7 linked regions of the Oryzias latipes genome follow. The protein of the gene in region 6 purifies or fractionates together with the protein of the main gene of each other region. This does not show direct contact. Links are inferred from orthologs where the notes say so. Each region holds a gene or a part of one and is shown on either strand. Other genes may lie near its edges. The genes, in order: hdac3, e2f4, arid4a, nucleophosmin, e2f3, rb1 and kdm5a.

Region 1 (4,234 bases), on a different chromosome or scaffold from region 6:
TAAAAATGTTTTTATTTTTATTCTGTTGCAGTTTCAATAATTATAAATAAAAGGTAAATGACACTCCAATGATTCCAGGTTTTTCAATAAAGTACATCTTTCGTCTTTTTACTGTCTCAGATGAAAGGAAACGAGCGGCTGGAGTCACCGTTTTAAACTTTTAATTCCAATAAAGAAGCCCTGTTTACACAGAAAACAGCTACGAAATGTAGGACTTTCTTTTTAGACAGAAATAAAGAAAATGATTTAGAAATGTCTTCCAAGATGTCTATAAAAGGTTGGCATTGAAAGCTGCTTTGCTGCTGCTTTTCAGTCCAAACCAGCTTAATGTTCCGAATCAGAACCAAACAGTGAAGGACCATGTTTTACTATAAAGCAGCTCAAAACTGGATCAGCTGTCCTGATGATGACAAACGTCTACTCAATGATATTGTTTTCTGTATGTATATCTGTGGATTGATATACATCCATGGATGTCTGTGGTGACAGTCGGATAACTCCTCACTTTCACACATTTGCACACTAGGAGAATAAATCCAGTTTTATAGAATGCAAACAAAGATCTGATGATGATTTGGCACAGAGGAGATTGATTGACAAGGTCAACAGCGAATCAGGACGCAGAACACAATGTGCTGTTAAAAAATGAGATCGCCACAAATGAAGACAAATGCAAATTTCCAAACATTTCCAGCTTCATGCTGACAACTTTGGCTGTTTTTTCCCCAAACATTTGCTGAAACTATTTTTTTAAGACGCAGCTTGAAAATAACATTGTTTTTTTTTATATTTTTAAGAACTGAAGCTGCTATGTTTGTTACAAACTCCAGAATATTTAACTATTAACTCTATTAATGCTGCAAAAACATGTAAAAAAAACCAAACATTTAGCTTATTTGTGACCTTCCTGTGAGTAACGATGTTTGATAAATAATAAGCAAACCATTTTCTTTTTTAAATGATTGCGTTGAATGTGGCTGAAGGTTCTCGTTTATCCGGGTGACGCAGTTTGGAATATTTCCTCGGTCTAATAGAGAAATCGTTCAGTATGATGATCGATTGTGGTGTAAAAAATCTGCAGCCCTTTATGATCATGTAAACATTTAAAGTCTGACCCTGTGAATAATTCCTAAATGGAGCTGAATATCCGTTACTAGAGGAGTCCATGAGTGACGGTTCATGACAAACCCAGTGATGGAGAAAAGCGGACGGCTTACCTTGTGGTTGAGCTGCGTGGCGCCCTGCAGAGACGCCCCCGTGTATCTGGAACAGAACTCAAAGAGTCCTGGAAACACAGGACTAGAGCCCGCCGTTGGGTTAGTGCTCACATTTGCATGAACCAAAAGCAGAAGACAGATCGATGAAGAGGAGGAGCAGCAGCAGCAGCGCTCACCAGTCATCTCCAACGTTGAAGGTGTTCAGGCTCTTGGTGAAGCCCTGCATGTTGTTGGGGCTGACCTTCTGCAGGAAGTCGATGTAATCTTCAGAGTGGAACCGGCACATGTCGTGCTGAGAGGCTTTGTACGGCTTAAAAACCTGACGGTCACAGAGAAACTGCAGAGTTCAATCTTTGATCTCGAAGCAACAGTGGAAGCAGGTTCTGGACCTTCAGGAGTGTCTCACCATCATCTTTTTATATAACCCATAATGCAACACCAGACTGTGGGTGAGAGACAAACGGTGAGGCTTCATGGGATGACCGGCACCTGCAGGAGACGCGGTTCACAACAAGCATCATCACTTTTTCATCATCAGCTCCATTTCAACATGATTACACTTCCAACGCGTTTTCACGACCAACAGGAAAGAAGATTAAAAAAAATGCTGCAGAATCCCTCCATTTAGTTTGAATCTGCTGCAGCTGTCGGTTCTGTAAATGTTTGTTTGTTGTTGTCTTTTCTTTTTAGACCTATAAAAACCAGAGAAACCACGATCACACTCTGTCAACAATCGTTTTGTCAATCAGAGGCCGTGAATGCTTTGGGACAAACACTTGTTTTAGATTTTGGTCTCCATTTTTATCCTGCAGTGATCAGCTCTTTGTGGACTCACAGCAGCTTTGAACTGAGCTCACACTAATAAAAAAACCAAATCAATGATAATCCCAAACTGTTCAGAGATTATAAACAGCTGGAAGTGATTAAGACCTAAAAGTTTTCATGATAACAGAAACGGGTAAGGACATAATTAATTATTATTAACCTTTCTATTACCTAAATCTAGAATCAGTACTCCTCAGCTTAATTGGTATATAGTATAATAGCCCATTCCTGTATAGAATACAAATTGCAAATATGTTGCCTGGAAATAACCAACTCAGTCAGGGTTTAAAAACACCAACAGATAACCCTAAGTATCTACATACACTCCTGCCGTGGGCAGGATCGCTACAATATTCTTTTCCTTTGCACCCAAATGTGACGTTATGTGTTCATTACTCACCTACAACACACTGGCCTGAACATATGAATGAGATAAAAAAAAATATCTTAATTAAACCCAGAAACAAAATTGGAGCTGAATTTTAACAATGAATCGTTTGAATTGTTAGCCTCCTCCAGCTAGCTTGCATTAGCACTCCTGCTCCAATCCCAGCGTTCAGCAAACTCACCGTAATGAAAGTTTCCCACATCTGGGTCGTAAAAGTAAGACGTCCTAATAGACATTTTAAATGTAAAAAAAATAATAATAATCCTGAGATTCAGCGAGGTTTTACTTTTTAAAGAGCGGCTCAGTCTGCCGCATTTTTCCTGCCGCTAACGGCTAACCGTAAACATTTAAAGGTGACGTCATCATGCTGGGACGCAGGGGATGGAGAGGGGAGGGGCGAACAGGGGGTCTCAAGATGGCGGAGTGAGTTTAAACCAATGAGTGATGATCACTAGAGGAAACATCACGTGGTTCCTCATGGGAGGAGAGCACCGCCATCTTGGTGAGGTCAAGTTACTGCTGCAGTGAATGCATTTGAACACATTTTTTGCATAATACCAGTTCATTGTTTGTGTTTCAACTGCCAAAATCAGAGAACTGAGTCCATGAAAGAAGAAGTATATCATTTCATAGAAAAGTATTATAATTTTTTTCTTTTGTTTCTTTCTTTTTCTTTTGTTTTTCTTTTATTAATAGAACACATGTTGACATGCATGATGCTGCAGGGTTATTATCAACATGCTGCATGATGTACGGAGAATTTGCTGTCGACATAAATGTACATTTTATTTTGCTAAACCTGTATACAGCATACTAGGCTATTATAGTAATATAGATTTATACATGTCTGACTCAGTGACCGAACTTTTCACTATTCACTATTCAGACTTAAGGAAAAAGTGGATCTTAGCAATAAAAAGAGCTAACCCAGATGGATCACTGTGGTACCAACTAGTAATACAGTCTGACTGTTCAAAACATTTGTGGAAACCAATTTAGATAAGAGGCCAGACTGTTAGCTTGAAACCTGACACCATACCATCTGTGTTACACAAATTGATCACTCACATGAATCTATTATTTTTCTTTGTTGTTGTTATTTTAGGGTAAATCTATTGTTCACTTTTGGAATTCTTTTGAATATTTATTTTATTATTATTATTATTATTATTATTATTATTATTATTATTATTATTATTATTATTAATAATAATAATAATAATAATAATAATAATAATAATAATAATAATAATAGACTTATATTTTATTATTTATTGACTTATTATGTATGTATTGCTATTATTTATTGTTTGTATTGACTTACTATTGATTTATTATTATTATTATTATTATTATTATTATTATTATTATTATTATTGAGTTATTGTTGGGTTTTTCTAAATAATTTAAATTACATGTCAAAGAGGTCTAAAATTCCTAAATGTTTACAAATTATTTTTTTTTAATTCTTTGTAATAATTTTTTTATTTGTAAGAAGTCCTGCAACAATGCATTTTCATTAAAGTTTGAGCTTTTAAGGCTGACTGTTTCTCTTCTTTAACAACAACAAATGATGTATCTATATATATATATATATTATATATATAAATATAATGTATTTACATATATTTATAAATATATATAAATTGTAAAAACATATATAGTATATAAAAGCTACTTAGACACCTCTAAAAGCAATAGAAATCATTGTCATGTGGGCGTCGTCGACCTCACCAAGATGGCGTCGCGCTCCGCCACCGTCGGCCAGGCTTCTAAAGCGGGCATGTCTCCTCTAGTGATATAA
Region 2 (4,255 bases), on a different chromosome or scaffold from region 6:
ACATAGATTGAAACCTGGTCAAGGACTGAGTCAGGAACAGCTGTGATGGACGCTTAAACCTGGGGAGAACAGCCAAACTCTGCAAGGTGAGGTTGTGAAAGACATGCACATTTCTAACATCTTGTAGTTAAATTAAAAAATTTTACTGCATCAAGTAACTTATAAACTTAAAGATATGTAGTTCAGGGTGTAGCGGTTCATTTTAACAACAAATCAATTTATATCATGATTTGCTGTTCCTGATACAATTAATAGCCAATATTGGTTCATTTTGAACGATCCAGTTCAATCACTGACCTAAAATCCAGCCAGGACATTTTTAGCCAAAACTTTTAAACCAGTGTGACTCTGGTACTCTGATACTTCTGGCAAGTGTAGAGTTGATGTGTACACATAAACAAGTAAACAAAAATTAAAAGAAAATCCATTCAAATTTTGGTTTCATAAAGTTGTAACACATGACCACATGTCTTTACACAATTCAAAGTGTTTCCACACATTGGACTGTAACATTCTTTTTTATTTTTTGGCTGCCACCACATATGTGTTGTCTGCTGTGATGCACTTGGTCGCTTTTATGTTACGGTAAAATAAACCTACCATGTCTCCAAATGCTATTTTCCAATCTTGACATTTTCGATTTATTTAATTTTGAAAAGATTTTATAATAGTTTGAATAGATAATAGATTAACAACTGCCCTAGAAAATATGTAGAAATATAAAATTGTTTCACTGATTAAGTCGATTAATCGTTACACCCCTATAATAACTTTTAAACTTAAATTATGTGGTAACATTTTTGTGGTTAAAAAAAATAAAGTCGTTAGGATGCAATACTGAACTCAAATAGTTAAATTCAAAATATTTAATTTACAAACCAATGTTTACACAGTACACTAATTCGCACTGCTTTGCAACCTTGAAAATGTTTCAGTCAATGACAATGTGGTTTGGAAGAAAAGCTTTAGAGGGGAAAATAATTTTCAAATATTCATTTGAAGAACGGTGCCTGCGTGTGCGCGCGTGGAAGTGCGTTTTCTTCAAGTTTAAGTTGCTAAGAGTTCGAGTTAAACTTTCTCCTCTACCAAAAATTCTTGCAACCAATACTTCCCCTAAAATCGCAATAGAAAAACTACTAACCGTCTTTTTTCATACTTTTTTCAATGTTACATTAAAAATAAATCACTAGAAATACATGTTCGTGCTAGCAAATGTATTTTTTACGTGGTTTTATTTTTTCATGAACATTTGCACACGGTCCCTAAAACGAAAGCACCGTCCCGTCATACCTCGCGTGGCCAACGGCTCTCCACCGACTGCTCCTTCATTGAATTTCCATACTCGCTGCTTCAGCTCGATTTTGCTCAGTTATTTTCAGAAAAGCAGCTAGTATTGACTCGTAAATTTGCACCACACCATCCACGCGTGTGTGTTTCGAACTGCGGCGGTGGAGCTTTCTTTCTTGGGCTCGCTGGCTGGATTTAGTCGGAAAGCAGGCAAGAGAAGAGGGGAAGTACGGAGCTGATCCGGAGCAATGATGGAGCTGGAGACGGCCAGTAACAGAGGCGACCCGGGAACCGTGGGAGACTCGCTGCAACCGCAGACGCCGAGCAGGCACGAGAAGAGCCTGGGCTTGCTCACGACGAAGTTCGTCACTTTATTACAAGAGGCGAAGGACGGAGTCCTGGATCTGAAAGCTGTGAGCTCTTTGTTGTTAGCTAGCACATGTCACTTTGAGCCAGCCCGCAGTCGTTAAGTTACATGGTATCTAGCTAGCATGCTAGCCTAGCTTAGCTGTGTGACAGGCTAATTTGAATGAAAGATAGCTTTGCCTTCTAAGTTTGTTGTTTTAGTTCACCACTTTTACAATTAAAATCACATTTAATATTTTATGGTGCAGATTTTTGCCTTTCTGAGTGAAGAAACGAAGTGAATTTCAAGAACACCGGTCAACTTTTTTCGACTCTCTGCCCCCCTGCAGATTCAAAGTTTAGAAAGTGGGTCAGCTTTTGTCATTCTACTCTCAGTTAAAGCCACTGCACCTTCACACTTGAGCAAGTTTGTTTTATGATTGATTGCGTCTTTGTCCACGAACGACATGCGTTTATAATGTTGCTTTTCAGAAATGACTCAAAGCGTGAAGTAGTACTCGCACAGATGTTGATTAAATTAGGCTAGCTTTGTTTTTCACAGTACAGGGGCCACATTTCCACATTTCCATCACTAGCTTTAATGCAGGAATGTTTACTATTGGGATTCTGCTAAAGTCCCACATTGTTTGATGTAAAAGCTCAAATAGTTTTCTACAAATACAAAAAAATATATAACGTTTGCACTTTTCATATTTTTACATTAGGGGTGTTACGATTTATTTGAACAATTTGATCCACTTTATAATTTGTGCTTCACGACATGATTTATAGTCCGGGACATCTTTAGCCAAAACATCAATCAGTGGGACTCAGAGATAAATAAATGGGTACTGAACAGTGTCACTTGTATTTCTTGTAAATGTAAATAAAATGGCTTAACAAACAAACAAGTAATTCCCATTTTAGTGTCAAAGTTCAGCCCACTTTTGCCATAGATAGGGTTGTTACGAATAATCAGTAAATCGATTTATATTGCTGCGATCCAACCAGATTGACCTGAAGCAAGTTGTTAATTGAGTCAACGTGTTTTATTATTATAAAATCCTTTCAAAATGAAATAAATCAATTATATGGATATAGGAAAACACCATTTGGATTGAGGTTCTGAAGGTTTATTTGACCATAACTGTAAAAATAACCGAGTGCATCACAGTAGACAACACGCATGTGACGGCAGCAAAGCATGACCAACCATCATTACGGCTCGATGTGTGGAAACATAATTTTTGACCATACAGTGTGGTCATATGTCGCAACTTGATGAAACCAAAAATGTGAATGGATTTGACTAGGGCTGCACGATATAATGAGGAAAACTCGCGGTATGCGATATTAGTGATAAACATTGCGATGAGGATATAACTTGCGATACATGAACAAATAGCAAAACGATCAAAACCATAATTTCCATTTCACTGCAACAGTTTTAATTTAAATAAGAGTTGCCCCTCGTCTACATAGGAGGCCAACATAAAAGAGCTCCATCCCATTGGTCAACCACGTGAAAGGCTCCATCTGATTGGTCAAATGTTTAAATGAATTTATTTGATTCATTAAATACTTCAAGCTGCTATGAGATTGTTTTAGCACTCTTAAGGTTACGATTTATTGCAATTTTTGCAGACTTTTGCATGATATATCATATCATGATAACGATAAATTAGTGATTTATTGTGTCTAGATTTGCCATTCATTCTTGTTTGTGTGTTTGTACACTTATTTAATTTACGCTTGGTTATTTTGCAAGGAATCTGGAAAACCTCCGCTGTGCTGTTCAGTACCAGGTATTTCTCTCTGAGTCCCACTGATTGATGTTTTGGCTAAAAATGTCCTGGATCTATTTTAGGTCAGTGAATCGGATCGTTCAAAATGAACAAATATCTACTATAAATCGTATTGTCAACCACAAATTATTATATTAACCGAATTGTTCAAAAGGATCAATACACCCTAAAAAATGTAACATTCTTAGAACATTCTAGCCCACTGGATGGGACCATGTCTTTGCTAAATTCAAAGTTTTTCCACAAACTGGACTGGAATGACGGTTGATCAGTTTTTGCTGATATCACTTGTGTGTTGTCTGCTGTGATGGTCGATTTTACATTATAGTAAATAAACCTAACGTGCCTCAATCCAAATGGTATTTTCCAATATAACTAATTTATTACATTTTGAAAGGATTTTTTTTTAATGGTATAGGTCGCTTGGATCAGCAACTTGCCTCAGACAGATTTATTTGGTTGGATCGTAGTAATATAAATCAATTTATCAAATAAGTGGATTGATTGTTTCCCCCCTAATGTACATATTTTTCTATAACAGTCATAGAAGAGAGACACTTGAGTCTAAAATCATTTAAATTACAACACACTGATTCTGTTTTGTTATTTTCTTAACTGTCATTTTGACCATTCAGGCATTACATTATGTATGAAGAGTTCTGCTTCTTCTCTTTTTGAGTCTGTCTTCCTGATCATTTCCTTCTTGTGTGACTGGGTTGATATAGTGTCTGCTGATACTCTAAGCTGCGCTGCACCTCGCAGATAAAACACTCCACGCACGTGCACACATTTTTTTTCTTTTTCTTTCCAACTGACTT
Region 3 (3,994 bases), on a different chromosome or scaffold from region 6:
TACGCACACAGAGACGGCGAGCCAGCCCACGCCGTGTGACGTTCTGTGGCTTCTAGCGCCAAACTGATTTGACAGCAAAACAATGTCACGTCTGTCAGCGACGCTCGCCGTCACGTGTGTAACATCGGGCAATGGAGAGCAAAAAAACCGTAAAACTTAAAATGACAATTGTTGATCTGATCGTGGGGCATTCAAACGTTTCCGGTATTTTAGAGAGTTCTGCGCGTGTAAAAATGAATTATTCTGACCGAAAAGGTGGCGTAACCCTAACCTTAAACGTTTGTTATGTACACAGTTCAATTCTAATCCCATCTTTGATCCAATCAAAGATATTTTGCACACAAAACCGCGGCTACTGATGCCTGGCTCCAACATGACGGCGTCCATACCGCAAAGAAATGGCGACTGAATCGACTTCATTTGGTACTAAACTATTTTTTTATGGGTGCCGTTGCTCAGTCCAGTTCTCAGCTACACTCAATGGTAGTTTTCTTAAAAAATGTTAGGTACGACTCATAGCATCTTTGAATACAACTTGCTGTTTTGTTTAATGTCTGTCAGTAGATTGAAGTTTTTATCCTGTTTTGCTGGAAGGTAAGTATAAATGACGGTCTAAAATCAATACAAGGAAACATCTGAATATTCTATAGAGGTCAGATAGTCTGCTGTGTCAATTGTTTAAAACAAAAAATAGAGTTAATTGACAAAAATTGTGGAGTTTACAGACAGCGATACTGGAAGAATTCCTGACGACTTTTTGTCTCTTTGGCTTGCCATACTCTTCAACGTCCTCGCGGTTAAATGTTTTGACGGACCACGACAGGGGAAAAAACAACGAAACTGAAATATCAGGCGACCTTTTAATAAAAACGCGTCCAGCCATCATCGAGTTGATCATGTGACTCGGTAAAATAGGTGGTTGATGGCGGCAAAGCGAGTCTTTGCGTGAAGCGAATGTTTTGCAGCGTGTGAATCACGGTAAACACGGTATCGACTCCTGGCTTCTAGGCGCACGCGCGTCTGCGACACCGACGGGATTGTCCTTCAAGTTCAGAGCACGAGCACGGGGGGGAAAAAACGTGTTCGTGTCGAAGGTTTTGTGTTTGGTTCGAAGGTTTCTAGCACGTAGCGGGGGGGGGGGGGGGGGCTGGGCTTCCTGTCCTGTCGGTACAAAGAAGGAAGCCGCTTCAGCCAATAGGAACGTAGCGCTGCGGGAACAAACAGCGGACAGCCAATAGGAATCTCTCCCGTTTCTTCCTCACCCCCTCCCTTCACGTGTCACTTTTGCTGTGACTGGACAGCCGGCAAAGCGTTGCAGTATTTTCTCTCGTGGCGCCGTGTTCGTATGGACCAATAGCAGCAGAGCATGGAAACAGCCAATGGAAACGAGAGAACGCACCCACCAATGAAATGTCTCCGTTGTCACTCCCGCTGTCAGCGCAGCCAATCACGTGTCCAGAAAGCCAGCTCGGGGCTCAACAGCTTGTTGTTCGTGTATCGTTTTGCAGCTCGAGCGAGAGGGGAAGAATTCGCGGCAGTGAATGTAAGAACGAATATTCCTATTAACCGATCAACACCGTTTTTTTTACTGCGTAAAGTGTGTCGGAGAGCGGGAAGAAGAGGGGCGCGCGGGTGTCAGTTGAGAGTGGGGCTGGCCGCTGTACGGAGGCTGCCTGGGAACTGAATGGCAGTGAAGAAATGTGGAGCTTCTGCGCCTTTGTGGAAGGCAGAAGAGCCGCTTATTAAATAAATAAGTTCGCGCAGCTCCCGCTCCGTCCGATGACACCGAATCGCGGCTTTTCGGACCGAACCGCCTCTCATATTCGGAACAAAAGCGATGCGTAGCAGTTGGCGGAGGCTTGTCTGCTAGTGGCAGACAGTTTAAATCACCGTGTGATCACTAACTAGCTAGTTGAGACGCTTGTTAGCTAAAATAGCTCGATGTCGCCGCGAACGAGTCGAGAGAGACGAAGCTCGCGCGCGGTTCGCACTTTTCTGTTTCCGTGTCGGGATTCTGTCGTGTCGCAGAAGCCCGTCCGCCCTCGTGTCGTCCAAAAGGCGGCTTTTTTTTCTCTCCCCCTAGCATGGGACGTGGTAAAGTTAGCCGAGCTAACTCGACTGACATGGCGAGCCGTGATCATGGCGACGTGACTCGGCGGCTGTGGGAGCGGAGCGGGAAGTGAAGGGACTGCCCTCCGCGGGGCTTTTTTTTTCTATCCTCTAGTACCGTCGGTCTGGAACCGGCGGGGATTCGGAGCTTACATTTGGCGGACGCTGTTGTTGGCTAAGTTTGTGTCACATATTTTGCCCAGATCCAGGAGGGAGGGGAGGGGAGGAGCAGCAGCGGGGCAGGAGAACGCTTCAGCTAGTGCGTGGCTAGTTGTTAGCTTTTACGCGGCTCCGGTTCGACCCAGCCCCCGCCGCCGTTCGGCTCCCAGCAGCCCCAGCGCCTCACCTCCCGCTTTGCTTTTTGTCTTCCAGAGATCGTAAGCCCTTCGAGCTGGACTCCCAGTAAAACCCGGACGGAGAGATGAAGGTGAGTGTTTTCCTGAAGAAGACGGCGCCCGCGTCCACTCTTCTTTGAGCCCGTCCATCATGGTGGAACCGGCTTGTTATGGCTGTTCACACCGGGCCGTTCACATCGGTTCTGCTCCGATCCCAGTCCAGGTTCAGAACTTTGGCGTTATTTTCGGTATCTGAAACGGAACCGTGTGTTAATTAGCCCGTAAAGCAGTTTCTCCAGACGCTTAAAGGTCAGTCAGTCAGAAAGTCGTCTGTCATTTTGGATCTGCTCCTAAAGTCCAAAAATAGAAACAGAAATCAGTTGTTTTATCTTTAAGAAAAAGGCACTTTTACAAACACCGTTGATCAAAGAGGATTTGTGACAGGATTCTAGAAAAACGTATTTATCCGTTGAAGGAGGAAAACCGAATCTGTCAAATGGATTTATTCAGATTATCTGTAGAATCTGGTGTTCGTCGGCCCGATGCTCGGATGTATATCGCATCAGTTCTAGGCACAAACGTAAATGTTTGGACGGTACTCGGGTCTGGAAGTGTTGTCACTGCAGAAGTGTGGGTCTCCCTGTAGAAGTTCTCCAGCTACACTTTGCTCTCTGAGTCAGGGAGACGACTGCTTCTTCGGCTCGATCATGAGGCCGCCGATCTGGACCTTGGGTCAGTGAGAGAACCCAAACATCGGCCAACCGACGGCAGAAATGCTTTGGACACGTTGTCGGATTCAGACGCTCTCAAAGTGGCGTAAGAACGGAGAAATGGAGCGCTGCAGTTCAGACAGACCACAATACTTATTAACCGGCTGTGTCTCAACAGCAATGAGAGTTTCCTGTTGGTGTCCTAAAGTCCTGATGGTAAAAATGAGTCTCAGGAGCTCCGGGTTGCTTCCCTTCTGACCGCAGCAGCAGTCGGATGTCTGAAGATGTCCTCCATCACGGCACAGATGGTGCCGTGCACATGCAGAGCTGAACGGGCTGCAGTCCACCCTCGCCTGCCAGTTTACTGAACTTAAATGAAATATAAATTCATCGAAGCTGGATTTTTTTTCTCCTCCTGTTAAAATGAAGTTCCATCTTTTGCTATGGACTCTGTTTGAGAGCAGGCCTGTGTTGTGTTTCAGGCAGCGGACGAGCCTGCCTACCTGACAGTCGGCACAGATGTCAGCGCCAAGTACAGAGGAGCGTTCTGTGAAGCCAAAATCAAGACCGTGAAGCGCATGGTGAAGGTCAAGGTAAGACCTGAGGGGGCAGGTGTGCGCGTGAGCTGGATGTGTGTGTGTGATTGTGCATCCGCAGGATGACGACGGCCCAGGAAACGGGATCAAACCACAGCTTATGCAATCACACCAGCTGATCACTTCCTGTCGATTAGTCACAGTAAAGTACATACAGCCACTTGGACACACAAAGTGTGACATTTTACCTCATTAACACAAACGGTTATTGCTACTGAAAGTCTTCAAGTGAGGTTTGTTTTTG
Region 4 (3,211 bases), about 2.8 Mb from region 6:
ACTTGGATGATGATGAAGATGAAGACGATGAGGATGATGATGAGTGAGTATTAACATTCTGACGGCAAATGTTTTCTTTTGTGTCTTGGTGTTGTCAGAAATCCAAATGGTGTTTGGGCCCAAAGTGGCGGGTCCTGGATCAGGTGTTTGTCTCTGAGGTCATTCCCAAAACTACATTCATATTTAGAAATTTGACTTTTTTCCTTTTAACATATCAGACTGTGGAGAATACTGCATGTGATCAACTTAAGCTGTTAATTCGGTGGAAATCCAATTCATGAATCCAGATCCACGATTATCAGATCAAACTACAATAAACATTTTACCGTTTGCACACGTCTATTTACTGGATGTAAGAACATTAAAGTATGCATTTAAAATCATGTAAACGGTACTTTTTTTATTTAAAACGGCAGATAAGAATCAATAAATGAGAAAAAAATAAATGATTTTTATCACTCTAAACGCCAAAGTTTTCTTTTTGTCAACTTCCTGGTTAACTTCAGAAGTAAGCAGCGCATAAACATCACTGTTTTGGATAATTCTGTATCAAATCCTGAAAATGTTTACACCTTCTGACCATTAAAGTTTTACTGACAGTTCCAGTAGATGAATGAAGACACAACACCTAAATAATGATCCTGTAAGAGTTAGAAAGCGCACAGTCCTTTTAAGAGTTTCCTAACTAACACTTTTCATTTGTGGGGGAAATGTCAAAACTTTAGATTTCACACGTTCCAGTGTGTCTTCCCCACAGTGCTAGCAGGCTGTGTATGACATCCCATAATTCATGACAATTTGTGATATTTGAGGAAATATATATATATATATATATATATTTTCACATATATACAGATATAAAAGTAAATTGTTCACTATAGTTAAAACAAAATTACAATGTATATATATCTTTTAAAGCTTTGTTTTTAATAAATGGGTAGTTTACCTGCTCATCTAATGGAATGAGGTGTTTACTTCTTTCCATCTGTTCACCAGCAGAGGGCGCTGCAGCCATATGTTTGCATTTATATATTACATGTAATTATTGTTAAATGAGGCATAATCCTTAAGATAACCCAGATATAATTTAGACGCATGATTAAACACCCAGAGAACGTTCAACCAAAAATAAGAGCCTGGAAATCGAGCAAGAAACAAAATATGTTAAACAATGATTCAGGGATCTATTTTACAAAGTAATTGTAAAAATAATTGGTATTTTCCGTGGTATTAAACTCTTCCTTCTTAAAATTTTTCTTTGTAGGGATGATGATGAAGATGATGAGGAGAGTGAGGCAGAGGAATCTCCTGTTAAGGTAAAGCAGCTTCTGCATCCTTGGTTATATCTTTGTCTCTACTGTTAAATATGTTTTATTTATTGACTGGTTTCTTTGCAGGTCAAACAAACTCCAAACAAGCAGAAGGCCCAGACTCAAAACGGAAAGAGTTCTGCGCCCTCCACTCCTGCGACCAAGCAGGTGATGACAGAGTCCTTCCTCCAGCAATAGGTGCTCTGCGGGGGGCTAAAGCTGCTAACCTTTTACTCACCTTTTTTTTCACATCCAGGACAAGACGCCTAAAGGCAAAGGTGCTAAATCACCTAAAGCCCAGACTCCTAAACCAAACCTAACTCTGCCTGAGATCAAGGCCAAGATTATGGAGTCTGTAAAGAAGGTGGGCGGAGTCTGCTCCATGGAACCTTTATGGAAGACGCTTCAGTTTGTGGGGGAAGTTTGACTTTTGTTGTGTACGTTTGCAGGGCGTGGCGCTTCCTAAAGTCCAGGCCAAGTTTGAAAACTTCATGAAGCATGGACAAAATGTCACAGATGCTAAGGTAACAGGGTCTAGAATCTGGGTTTTCCTGTCTGGAGTTGAAAAGAAATCACTACAAGATTAAAAAAAATGTTTACAATCTTAACAGCTGGATCTTATTTCTTCCCTGCAGGTGATTTCAGAGCTGTGGAAGTGGAGACAGACGATCAAGGAGGAGAAATAGCCCACTAGAGTTTTAACTATTTTATAACTTGTTAATGTCTGTAACGCCTCGCAATCCCGTTGAATTCAGTCTGTGCCTCACCTAAAGTTTTCCTCCACCCGTCCGTCTGTGAAGACTTCATCTGACATCTCCATCTTGTTAAAAGAAAAAAAAACAGCATTTGACTTAATAAAGAAATAACAAGGGAATGCAATATAATGGAAATGCAAGTTTTGGGTAAATTCATTCCTTTGGTTGTCAGCTGTAAGCCCCTGACCACACCCTTTCTTTCTTCATTTACCTTTTAAGTTTCTTTTTGTCTACAAAATAAAGCGTGTTGGATTAGGCATCAACACCTGTTTTTAGTCCTACAGTGTGTTGCTATGGCAACAGTTGGCCCCACAGTCCAAAGGTTTATAGTGAAGTTTGTGAGGACTTCATGCATGAGGATGCAAGTTTTGTGTAATGATTCTAAGAATGAGCCGTCCCCCCTCAAGGTTAAGCGTATCCCGCAGTCTTCAGTTTGCAGTTCCTGTCGGTGCATGAGGCCTGTGGACGAGGACCATTCTATGTCGACTGAATACTGATGGAATTATCATTTCCGCTTTATTAAAAAAGGTGAAAAAACATCTCAAAGTTTATGCTGGTGAATTAATTCACTTTTTAGAACTATGCTTTGTTTTCAAGTAAATTCCTCTTTGTTTTGCGTTAATTTACCAATAAAATTTCCTCAATACCTTTTTGTTTTGTTGTCCTTTGTAAAGATTTGAAACTTTACATTGTGGGCTTGTGTTAAACCACTAGAGGGCGCTTTGAGCTTACAAAGCTCTTGAAATGGGTCACAAAAGAGCAGACGGATCCCTCTGAATGCAGAATCCACTGTGACGTAGTGGTCTGTGCTCAAGTGTTGGTGGCTTTTAGTGAAAACCTGAAATGTGTGGGAGGACATTTTACCCTAAAGCAGGGAGTGCCGGTACAGTCAACGGTCACATGCGCTTTATGAGGAAATGTTTTTAACTGGCTTCCTTTCTCTGCTTCTTTACAAGTGGAAACACGATTGTTGTTGGGAGTTCAGAGACTGGGCATTTCCAAATAATCAATTTTTCATTTATAAGATTGTTATTCTAAAACTGGAAAAGCAGTTCATTCCAATCTGATGTCTCATTTGTATAAGTTTGCTTTTTTTTTTTTTTTTTTAAATTTAAACCAGCCATATATGTTGTTGGCATTTTATTT
Region 5 (4,056 bases), on a different chromosome or scaffold from region 6:
TAGGAACTGGATGATGACAGTTAATGTTTAAAATTAAAATAAAAGGTTCAGAAAAATATAATAAGGGTGGGATTATATCGGGTTGCCTCGCTCCTTTTCTGTAAGGATTCTGTGGTTTTGTTTGGTTTTTGTGACTTTTGGTCAGGTTCTGAGATGCCCTCAGTCACACCAGTTCCTCGTCCATCATGATCCATAGATGTCGTGATTTTAGTTAATTGCCCTCAGCCTATTTAAGTGCATGGTTACAAGTTCTGCCTTGTCAGGTCACCTTTTTGTTGCGCCGTGGGTTTTGTCAATTTTCAGTTTGTTTATTAAATGTTTTATTTTCTGTCACCAAGCCTGGTCTCTTGCATTTTGGGTCCTCCATCACCAGTTCCTGACACTTTCAAACAATTAAATTCGTTTGGACAATTTTAATATTTAATGGTTTCAATGTGTGATGTACTGTAGGTCTAAGAGCATTTAGGACTGTTTAGGATTCATTGTAAATATAACTGCATTATTTACAGGTGTATGTGGATGTATGTGTGTCTATTTTTCAATCATTTCATGACAAATTATCCAGTTTGATATTGGCTTATCTTTGTATTATGTAGTTATATATTTCTGTTGATTGTCGTCTTTAGGTTTATTTTTGTTTTGATTTTTGTTATACACCATTTCCATATCCAAATGACATCAACCAAAAGCTGGTGTCACAGTGGTTTTTAATGTTGTACATAATTGTGATTGTTGTTTTTTTCTTTCTACATGAGAAGAAGCAGTTTATAGCATTTTTTAGGGTGTCTCTTTGTGATTTTACTATGGACATAGTAAAAAATGTTTCAAATATTGCACCATTGAATTGAATATATTGAAATGTAAGATTGAAAATGCATGCAGTTTTATTCACTCTTAAATAAAGGTTAAACTTATTACCCAACTTTTAATCACTTCTAACTTTAAGCGCCAAAATACACATAAATATCTTTGTCGTTTAATAACAAAGAATTAAAATGATTTTTATGGTTATTAACAAATCTATTACCTGCTTTCTTTACATTGGCATTCATATTTTTGAATTGTTTCGTTCCGTTTCGAACAGCCTTACTGTTTGGAGGAAAATGTGTTGCTGGCGCCACCTGGCGTTTACATCTGCAGCATGCAAGGCGTGACAAGTGACGCCACATGTTTACAACTGCCAATGAGCACGTGGCGAGACGAACTCTGTCCTCCAATTGGCCGGTTCGGTCGGGATGTGGGCGGGAACTCCTGAGCTAAGGCTCAATGGCGACGGACATGTAAATTTAGTTTGAAAATTCCCCGGGAAATCTGAGTTTCGCGGGAGGGCTCTTGAGCGCGTAAACCGTATCCCTTCATTCATCAGGCCGTTTCCTGAAGCCATTTCTAGTCGGTGGAAACGAGAGTTGCGCTACTTTTAAATCCGATGCATCTGCCTAAATGCACCTTCTTAAGGAAAATTTACTTTTAAAAGTCGATCATTCAGACGTTTATCTACACTTTGGGCTGATTATTTTTGAAATCATTGCGACGGATTAGCGGCCGCACGGGCTTAAAAGTTGAGAGACAAGAGAGGGGTTACCCTGAATACGCAAGATGAGAAGAGGGATCTCCTCGGCTCCGGACAAAGTGATTTTAGCAGAGGTCGGGGGTTCTCCTCTGGACAGTAATATAATTTTAACAGCTCTCGCGGATCGTTTGAACCCCGGTCAATCTAACGCTACGTATATCCAAATAATAACCACACCACCGCCTTGCAATATTACACAGACATCAAATGTGTGTTTATCCGAGGCTCAGGTCAACAACATTTACACAACTCCACAACAAGCGGCGGCGAACGGAGCAGGACAACGACCCGCTCTGGGGAGACCACCGGTAATAACACTCAACATTTTTCACGAACCCAACATAAGTACGACAAATGTTAGCTCGCTAGCTAGCCGAGCTTGTTGTTAGACAGCTAACGTTAGCTGCTTAGCCAGGGCAATCCCACGACTAGCGATGTAGCTAACTAACTACCGCTAGCTTAAGTTACCCAAACAGGCTGATTTAGAGTCTTTTCGTCAACTTTCTGGGGGCAAAACGCCAGCTTTAGCTAGTTTTGCGTGTACAGAAATGCCCCCCTGCCTTCTAAGATAAGACTCGCTAACTTCACCCAGCTCAGGGTCCTCTTCACCTTTGCAGCCAGATGGAAGTACTGGTAAGAGATGAGTAACGGTAGCGCTGGCCTAGTAGCTGCTGTTGGTGTCTTTATGTGGGATTGGAGACCTTGGTTGTTGAGTTTTTCGGCCCTTTTCGTAGCTTTCTACCGACATAAGAGGAGGGGAACCTTCCTAAATTTGAGCTAATGCAGCTGCTTTGTTTCGAAACTACTCAATAGATTCCTCCAAGTGGGCAAACCAACTTATAGAAATATTAGCTTTCCAAGCTAGTAGCGCCATAAAATTAAATTTTTGTCAAAAATAACTCATTGCTTGCCTTTCCCCCCCTTTATTTTGTCGTCTGGTTTTGACGTCCTCTGTGACTTAAGTGACATTTTAGTTCCTTTCAAGTGAAGGAGAAGTGAAACCCGAGCTTGTTGCTTTGGAACTAACTGCACGTTTCATGTGTTCTTCTCTCTACATACATGCATGAACCGCAGATAAACGAGTTCAGAAAACATTTGGGTTTCTGTGTTCTCCACATTTCACGAACCCCCCCCCCCCAGCAGGCTGCACCTCAGACTGAAGCCACGAGCAGCCAGACAGACTCCTGCTGATTTTTTTAAAATGGCTGACACTTTGAAGGATAAATTATATGCCATTGCAAGTTTAGTGGAAGATGCATCTTCTCTGTCCTCTGAGGAGGAATCATCCCCTAGATTCATTTGTTTGAATCATATTAAAGACCCCAACACAGAAAACTGATGGTTTCTGGGTCCAACTCCATAGATTCTAGTTGGGTTTGTAGGTTCAGGAAACAGGAAAGCAGCAACTCTGCTCTTTATAGTCGCTCTATTATGGATGGTTACCATGAAGACAATAAAGTCTCACTTGATTTGATTTCTTTTTATTTGTAACTCATACAATACATTTTGTGCGTACTTGCAATTGTGTGTAAAATTGAATATTAAAAACTTACAAAAAGTAATTACAGTTTCTGCACACGCACCTGGAAACTACTGCAGCCTAATCTAATGAAATGGTACGGACCAATCGCCTGACACACACACACACACACACAAAACCACATTCACACACACATCAGATTTGAGACCCTGTTGACGTCTCCAGATTTGTGTGTAAATAATGCGTTTAAATGCTGCTAAAAACACGAGTTCATAGGAGTGGGGTCTTTAACAATGACTTAAGTGTGCCATTACAATGTTTTATAACATTTATTTTGGAGTTTTTGAATCGGGATATCCTGTATTTCTTTTTTTTTTCTTTATTTTATTTACGGTTCTTTTCCCTCGGAGACCATCATGACGGTGTCTTGTTTTAAAGCTGCTTGAACGCCAACTGGTCATGAAGTTTGAGGTGAAATGATGGCCGTCCCGCTCTGATTTTCAGACTTGTGCATTTTTGTGGTCTTTCACACAATCTGGATGCATAGATCATACATTTGTTTAGATTTTTTTAGAATATGGTTACACACATATCCCAAAGAACCTGCTGATGTTCAGAATGTCATATGTCCGTTCTGAGCCACAGCTGCCCACACGCTTTGGGGTAAATTTCCGTCCAGATGCTGCCTCTGCACCTCTGTTCATAGCAGTTGGTTTCAGGGGTGGGGGCGAGCCCCTCCCCTAACCTGATGTAAGTAATAGTACTAATGTTTTGGGAATCGTCTGACAATTCAGCTTCAAACTGAGCTGAGCAACCCTGGAGATGAAACTACCAGCATCTGTCAGAAAACCATATTTTCTTATAACCCTTTTCCTCCAGGCAAAGAGGCGGTTGGCTCTTGATGAATCAGACCACCAGTACCAGTTAGAACCAGCCAGAACGCCACGCAGCAGAGGGGGGGGCCCAGCGGCCAACGGGACGCGCATAAAGACACCCAGAAGTAAGG
Region 6 (3,500 bases):
TTTTCTCTTGACTCCAAACAGAAAAATAGCTGATCTTGTTGTTTGCGTATCAGTTCAACAGCTCTGTGGATACGTCGCAGGTGTCGGTCTGTTCCTGTTATAGAGTATTAGCTGCCTCGCAGCTGCATGGAAGTCAAAGGTAGAGACACAAAGGGCTCAGTGGACTGTTGAAATATGGGGAGGAGTCTGCCTGTGGACTTAAGTTCTCCCCCTACTGTTCACTTTTACTTTCACATGAGATAAAAGTTATACATCTCTATCCAAATCAAAATAATTAATAAAAATGTCAATATCTGTCAGTTTTAACCTTTAGATTTAAACGTAAAGTTGTCTTACTATGACTTTCAATTCTATACGCGAATGTTTCATGAGACATTCAAGATTTGTATCTCATTTGACTGTCAAACAATAAAGGAACTGCTGCAGGACATTGATAGATATTATATCTTTACAGTGCAAGTAATGTCCTAAGTTGTTGCCAAACATTTGAAAAAGTAAATTTGTAACTTTTGAAATGTTTCTGGCGTCAGCAGGGTGTAGCTTGTCATTAGGAATGCACTGTACTCATACTGCTTGTACTCAATCGTGTCTGTACCTGCAGCTGCTGAGGTCATAATATGTAATAAAACACCAGCCCTACCCCCATCTGTGAGCTCAGGCTTTTGTCAGTTTACAGATTTCATAACTAAGTTAATACAAACTTTTTAAATCAATTGCTTGATTTTTTTTGTCATAAAAAACAGCAAACAACAGTTGTAAACAAACCACATTTTGGGAGTGTCCAACATGTGGTTTTATCTACTGTACTTTGTGTTTTATCTGGCCTGTTTTGCTAGTGAAATGAGATGTTCACATGTTGTACTTTCTGTGTGTCACTGTTTGTTCTTCTTTTTGAGGTACAACAAAGAACACCATTCAAGATTTACCTCAAAATCAGAATTTCTTTAATTCAAAGTTAAAGTCTCTTCTTATTTTTTGCAGCACAGCGATTTCTTTGTGCAAATATACATTTTTTAGAGAAAATTTGAATGCAATTATTTTACTAGGGCACATTTATTTTTATTTTTGTTATTAGCATTTAATATCGTTTCAGAAACCAAAATAAACTTTGAGTTTGAAACAGACTGGTAGTTATTACAGGTGTGTATCTCTGATCGCATTTTTCTTGTTTGTCAGTTTGTAGTTATTTCATAACTCCCCTGCCTGATGCCGATCCTTTAAATCTTGATACGTGTTTATGAAAGGAGACTTTACTTCATCTGTTTTGGGTTCTCAGCAAATAAAAAAAAATGTTATACTTCTTTTAAGAGTGCGTTTCATACTATTTTAAAAAATAACTTGTTCTAAAGTTTATATACATCTGCACATCAATCTATCAGTATAAAACACAAATCAAATCAGATAACAAGAATGATCAAAAGAACATTTACAAAATAGAGCCAGAAAGAACCTGATAATCTATTTCAGTAAAGATCACTTTTATCATAGAACTATGTATTTTTGAATCTATTCTTACAGCCTTGAATATTACTGATAGCCATAAGTTATGTGAGTGACCATGACTTGAACATGAATGATGACCAAAAAAACTATAATTCCTTTTTTAGCTGATTAAATGTATCGTTTTAACCTGTATTTTAATGTCTTTGTGTGCATTTCATAACACTGTGCGGTATTTTCATTCTGGTTGAGGTGAAGTTTATGATAAAGACTTAAATGATTCTGTTTTTGTAGGGCTCCCCTTTGTTTGAGCTGCTGAAGCGGGAAAATGAAGCTGGAGCCACAGAACAGGCCGAGCCCCCGGCGAGTTTCAGCTTACCTCTGCAACACAACCACACGGCAGCTGACCTGTGAGCCAATCTTTCCCTCAGCTCACACGGAACTGTTCTAAACCTGAAATATATGTTACTGTTATGAATGAGGACAAATCGTCAGTTCATTTGTCTTGGTTTAAATGCATGACTCAACACGGGGCCTCCTTACTTGTGGTGGAAATGACGCATGCTTCTTTGGCTTCTTCTCCATCTACAGATATCTATCCCCAATTCGCCCAGGTCTCCGTGTCTTGCCTCCTGAATCACCAGCCACGCCCAGCTCTCAGGCTTCCTCTCAGCCGACACCTCAGGCAGCAGGCCAAGCTCCACGGCAACCAAAGTCTAACTCTCTGAGCCTCTTCTATAAAAAATGTAAGATGTTTCTGTGATTATTTCCTTGATGTCAGTTTAACAAGAGCTATTGGTGCTGGTGGATATTGGTGACAACAAGTGAGACTTGGCTTGGCTGTAGTAAGGCTTCATCGTCCATCAGAAGAACAGCTCATGTGAGATGTTTTAAAAAAATAAAAGGTTTTGGACACATTGAGAGTAGGGACAGTGGTTATGCTGGTAAAAGGCTGCTTAACACCAACAAAGAGACCTAGAGGAAGACCAAATAGGAGTTTCATGGTTTTAATAAGGAAGTTTATGTGAACGAGGAAGAAACAAAGAAGAGGGTTAGATGGAGGTGAATGATTCACTGTGTAACTCCTAAAGGGAACAGCTAAAAAAAACAAAGAACGTGTCTGTAAGGAGTCATTGAATGAATGAGTTAAGCTTTATTTATATATCTCTTCACAACGCCTTCAGGGTATGAAAGTGTTTTACAATAAGAGACCACAGAACATTTGAAATTAACTTAACTCTTAGTACAACAGATTTATTGTCCAATCAGAGACAGACATCCATCTACATAATCTAAGAAGATGTTAAAGTTCCACTTTGATCGTATTTTTATCTAATGTAAAAACCTATCCTGTGTGTCCAGCCGTAGTTCTGAGCCACATACCAGCTCAGACAAGGAAAAGGAAGATGTTTTTGGATCTCTTTGTCTATAAGTGGATGAATCAGAATAGAACAGAGCAGGGAGCTTGTGTCCGCCCAGTGTATTTTCTATGTAACAAATACGATCTTTTTCAAACAGCATTTTTTTCATCTGCTCCTGATTCACAACAGCTTGAATAGAGATATACTCAGAAAATGAATTTTAAGCTAAATTTTCTTCACATGTCCTCCATCATCAGAATTATGTCACAAGATCATGTTAAAAACACCCAAAACACCATTTTCATCAGTGTGGGTTCTTGTTGAGTCCCTAACATCCTTTAAGCTACAGTTCTATATTACCTATTTTGTTTTAGCTTACTCACTTTTTGTAGTTCAAGGCTTTTATTAGTTTACCTGGAATTGGATGAATCATACATCTAACTTCCTGTTAGAATTTTGTTTTTTGTTTCATTTACAAATAACTTTTTATTTTCCTTATTTTTAAACTAGTTTGAATTGGGTCGTCCACTGGTAAAACGGAAAGTTCCTCTTTTTCTATTTCTATAGTGTATCGACTGGCATATACGAGGCTGAAGACTCTTTGTTCCTGCCTGCTTTCCAACCACCCGGACCTGGAGCACGTTATATGGACTCTGTTCCAGCACACGCTGCAATATGAGTATGATCTAATGAGGGACC
Region 7 (2,954 bases), on a different chromosome or scaffold from region 6:
GAAGTTGTCCGTCCTCAGCCAGCGGATGGTGGAGCAGGCAGCGCGCGAAAAAACGGAGAAGATCATCAACGCCGAGCTGCAAAAAGCTGCCGCCAACCCAGACCTGCAGGTGGCGCACATATGCCCATTTCTACTAGTTTGAGCCAACTATAATTCTAGTCTTAAAAAAAATGTTTTGTGTGAAATTTAAAGAGCCACTCCGCCCATCTTTTGAAAACGAATTTTGAATGCAGAAGCCCGAAATGCACATTTATGCACGTTTACGCAGACTTTTCATTACAAGTGGCTGCTTGAACAGGCGTCTCCAATGACGGTCTGAACACAGCCCAGGAAATTTGCCTCTGAGCTGTGAGCAAGACCGTTGCGGTGGAGCCAATACACGAAACATTGCTGAGAGATCTTTGTTTACTGTCTTTCCCACTAGCTTACAGCCCTTCACATGTCCAACCTAACATTACCGGTGCAACAAAAATGGCAAGCAATGTTAGAGCTATCCAGCTATACAGGTTTAAACTAGGGGTGCCAAATGTATCACTGCTGAAAAACAATGTTCGGCGTGTGGCGCAATCACCATGCATCGGCGATCTGCCCCCTACTTGCAGTTCCGGCTGCGTGGAAATATTTCAAGTATTTCCAGAGCTAAATTGTCAGAAGGGGTTCATGGGCCAAAGCCTTCACCACATCTGCATTAACTGGGCTAAAAGGAAGGCTAGCGGTGCTAGCGGAACTCCTTCAGTGTCCCACGTGTTTGAAAAGCTGAAAGAATTTGCAGGAAATTGATGTTTTGTGTGAAGACATAGCCTTATATTAATAAAATACACTAGTGCACTCACTGGAAAGACTTGGATAATAAAATATAAAATAAACATTTGTTTTATTTGAAAATGTTGTGTAAAATGTATTCTAGGCTATTTCTGCAATATTAAACAAAAAAAACTCAACATCCTCATTTGATATTCGGTCACTATTCAGTATTCAGCCCAGCGTTTTAATTATTGTTGGGCTTCGGCCAAAAATGTTCGCTTCGCTGCGTCCCTATTTTGTGCCAGATACCCGTTCGGACCAGGAGAATGGGGACGCACATGGATCTAGTGGATGCAAGTGGTGCTTTGGAATGGAACGAGAGATTTGTGGCCGTCATGAGAAAAACACAACAAGAACATGTTAAAAAAAACAAAACAATTTTCATTGGAGTGGATCTTTAACGACTGAATGTTTTTCTGGAAACAACCAGTAGAGGTCACTGGAGTTCAGTCATTTTAGTGGAAAAAAGAAGAACTGGATATTCTTTATTCTTTGTCCAGTCGCCATTTAAAACTTCTTTGATGGTTTCTGTACGTTTTAGGGCGTTTTCCTTCAATTCCTGGTTCCAGTCGAAATCTCTGCAGGTCGTCATTGGAATGTTTGACACGTTCCTGTCTGTGTGTTCTCCTCAGGGCCACATCCAAACCTTCCAGCAGTCCGGCTTCAGCAGAGCCACGTCTCCTCGTCCTTCCGTGGACTACGATGACGAGGAGACGGACTCCGACGAGGACATCAGGGAAACGTACGGTTATGACGTGAAGGTGCGAGATCTGAAGGAGCATTGAACAAACTCCCCTGTTTGTTTTGTTTTTTTAATTCATCTGGTGACGTGGGGGGTGTTTGTGCAGGACCCTGGGGAGGTGAAGCCATATCTGTTCTGTGACGAGGAGATCCCTGTCAAGTCAGAGGAGGTGGTCAGTTACATGTGGCCAGCTGCGACTCCTTCCTTCTGCGCTGAGCACGCGTATTCATCCGCCTCAAAGTCCTGTGTGCAAAGTGAGACCACATCTAATCCTTTCAAGGTGAAAAAATGACCCCCTCAGTTCTTTTTCTCTGATAACGTCAACTATTTATATTTTTGCTAGACGTCAGTACTCCCAGAAAGCAGCCGAGGAAGACCCCTCTGGTACCCCGGACTCTGGAGCCACCAGTTCTGGAGCTGTCCCCGCAGGCTAAGGCCCAGCTGGAGGAGCTGATGATGCTGGGAGACCTGCTGGAGGTGTCCCTGGATGAGACCCAGCACATCTGGAGGATCCTGCAGGCCACGCACCCTCCCTCTGAGGAGAGATTCCTGCAGGTCATGGAGGTATGGAGGTCGTCCGTTATGCAACGTTTATGTCGCCGCTTGTTTTCAGTCGTTCAAGACGCACTGTTCAGAGGACTGTATCGAAATATTAAGAAATATAAAGATTTACTTACTTGTCATTGTCAATAATGAGCAACGAAATCGCGTTTAGAGCATCAACAATTACCCTAATAAATAACCAAAGTGCAACATCAGTACAAAAACACAGCAAAAAGATCACTTTATTTGTTTTCTATGCTTTTTCAGCCCGACAACTTGCTGTTGGAAAAACCTCTGAAAATCAAACACAAAGATTCCGAGAAGAAACGGAAGCGGAAGCTGGAAAGAGCCGAGCACCATCACATGCTGATGGCCGCCGCCGCCGCCGCTGGCGGAGCCTCCGCTTTGTCTGAAATCAGGCCATCCAAGCCCAAAGAGCTGAAAAGAGTCGGTCTGGAACTCGGTCTGGGCATCAAACCGAAAAAGAAGAAGCTGAAACTCGGCCTGGAAAAAAACCGGGAGGTGAAGCAGCTGGCCAAGCGCCTGGCCAAGGAGGAGAAGGAAAGGAAGCGAAAGGAGAAGGCGGCTGCAAAGGCCGAATCCATCAGGGAGGGTCTGGACCAAAGGAAGGTGAAGAAGATCCTGGATATTCCCTCCAAGTACGATTGGTCGGGGGCTGAGGACTCGAATGACGAAAACGCCGTGTGTGCTGCTAAGAACTGCCAGAGACCATGTAAAGACAAGGTGAGGACATCCCTGAGTATGATCAGCAAAACAAAGAGAACGCCGGAGTTATCGCCAAACGAGCAGAATAACTCGCACTCTTGGAACGACTATAACTCTGCGACCATTTACAACCTGAACG

Evidence for each region.
Region 1: the proteins of rb1 (region 6) and hdac3 purify together in Homo sapiens (affinity purification with western blotting; 3 studies listed by BioGRID). This does not show direct contact. The link is inferred for Oryzias latipes from reciprocal best matches to the Homo sapiens genes RB1 and HDAC3.
Region 2: the proteins of rb1 (region 6) and e2f4 purify together in Homo sapiens (affinity purification with western blotting; 10 studies listed by BioGRID and IntAct, with this or other methods). This does not show direct contact. The link is inferred for Oryzias latipes from reciprocal best matches to the Homo sapiens genes RB1 and E2F4.
Region 3: the proteins of rb1 (region 6) and arid4a purify together in Homo sapiens (affinity purification with western blotting; 3 studies listed by BioGRID). This does not show direct contact. The link is inferred for Oryzias latipes from reciprocal best matches to the Homo sapiens genes RB1 and ARID4A.
Region 4: the proteins of rb1 (region 6) and nucleophosmin purify together in Homo sapiens (affinity purification with western blotting; 3 studies listed by BioGRID and IntAct, with this or other methods). This does not show direct contact. The link is inferred for Oryzias latipes from reciprocal best matches to the Homo sapiens genes RB1 and NPM1.
Region 5: the proteins of rb1 (region 6) and e2f3 purify together in Homo sapiens (affinity purification with western blotting; 9 studies listed by BioGRID and IntAct, with this or other methods). This does not show direct contact. The link is inferred for Oryzias latipes from reciprocal best matches to the Homo sapiens genes RB1 and E2F3.
Region 7: the proteins of rb1 (region 6) and kdm5a purify together in Homo sapiens (affinity purification with western blotting; 4 studies listed by BioGRID and IntAct, with this or other methods). This does not show direct contact. The link is inferred for Oryzias latipes from reciprocal best matches to the Homo sapiens genes RB1 and KDM5A.

The regions. Positions count from the first base shown.
Region 1 is NC_019868.2:25,322,757-25,326,990, forward strand, and holds the start of hdac3 (histone deacetylase 3), read right to left. Parts: upstream 2,801-4,234; 5' UTR 2,667-2,800; coding exon 2,612-2,666; intron 1,707-2,611; coding exon 1,624-1,706; intron 1,537-1,623; coding exon 1,394-1,536; intron 1,300-1,393; coding exon 1,218-1,299; intron 1-1,217. UniProt on the Homo sapiens protein: Histone deacetylase that catalyzes the deacetylation of lysine residues on the N-terminal part of the core histones (H2A, H2B, H3 and H4), and some other non-histone substrates.
Region 2 is NC_019864.2:28,153,448-28,157,702, reverse strand, and holds the start of e2f4 (transcription factor E2F4), read left to right. Parts: upstream 1-1,455; 5' UTR 1,456-1,535; coding exon 1,536-1,700; intron 1,701-4,255. UniProt on the Homo sapiens protein: Transcription activator that binds DNA cooperatively with DP proteins through the E2 recognition site, 5'-TTTC[CG]CGC-3' found in the promoter region of a number of genes whose products are involved in cell cycle regulation or in DNA replication.
Region 3 is NC_019880.2:2,469,968-2,473,961, forward strand, and holds the start of arid4a (AT-rich interactive domain-containing protein 4A), read left to right. Parts: upstream 1-1,194; 5' UTR 1,195-1,543; intron 1,544-1,574; exon of another isoform or gene 1,575-2,368; intron 2,369-2,377; exon of another isoform or gene 2,378-2,481; 5' UTR 2,482-2,530; coding exon 2,531-2,536; intron 2,537-3,636; coding exon 3,637-3,747; intron 3,748-3,994.
Region 4 is NC_019872.2:18,726,462-18,729,672, forward strand, and holds the end of nucleophosmin, read left to right. Parts: coding exon 1-43; intron 44-1,264; coding exon 1,265-1,316; intron 1,317-1,397; coding exon 1,398-1,478; intron 1,479-1,566; coding exon 1,567-1,674; intron 1,675-1,759; coding exon 1,760-1,834; intron 1,835-1,945; coding exon 1,946-1,996; 3' UTR 1,997-2,711; downstream 2,712-3,211. UniProt on the Homo sapiens protein: Involved in diverse cellular processes such as ribosome biogenesis, centrosome duplication, protein chaperoning, histone assembly, cell proliferation, and regulation of tumor suppressors p53/TP53 and ARF.
Region 5 is NC_019874.2:11,042,039-11,046,094, forward strand, and holds the start of e2f3 (transcription factor E2F3), read left to right. Parts: upstream 1-1,256; 5' UTR 1,257-1,596; coding exon 1,597-1,878; intron 1,879-1,916; exon of another isoform or gene 1,917-2,191; coding exon of another isoform or gene 2,192-2,203; intron 2,204-3,929; coding exon 3,930-4,050; intron 4,051-4,056.
Region 6 is NC_019872.2:15,916,388-15,919,887, reverse strand, and holds part of rb1 (retinoblastoma-associated protein), read left to right. Parts: exon of another isoform or gene 1-113; intron 114-1,734; coding exon 1,735-1,850; intron 1,851-2,031; coding exon 2,032-2,186; intron 2,187-3,368; coding exon 3,369-3,500. UniProt on the Homo sapiens protein: Tumor suppressor that is a key regulator of the G1/S transition of the cell cycle. The hypophosphorylated form binds transcription regulators of the E2F family, preventing transcription of E2F-responsive genes.
Region 7 is NC_019881.2:6,893,977-6,896,930, forward strand, and holds part of kdm5a (lysine-specific demethylase 5A), read left to right. Parts: coding exon 1-109; intron 110-1,436; coding exon 1,437-1,565; intron 1,566-1,652; coding exon 1,653-1,800; intron 1,801-1,889; coding exon 1,890-2,110; intron 2,111-2,356; coding exon 2,357-2,833; intron 2,834-2,954. UniProt on the Homo sapiens protein: Histone demethylase that specifically demethylates 'Lys-4' of histone H3, thereby playing a central role in histone code. Does not demethylate histone H3 'Lys-9', H3 'Lys-27', H3 'Lys-36', H3 'Lys-79' or H4 'Lys-20'.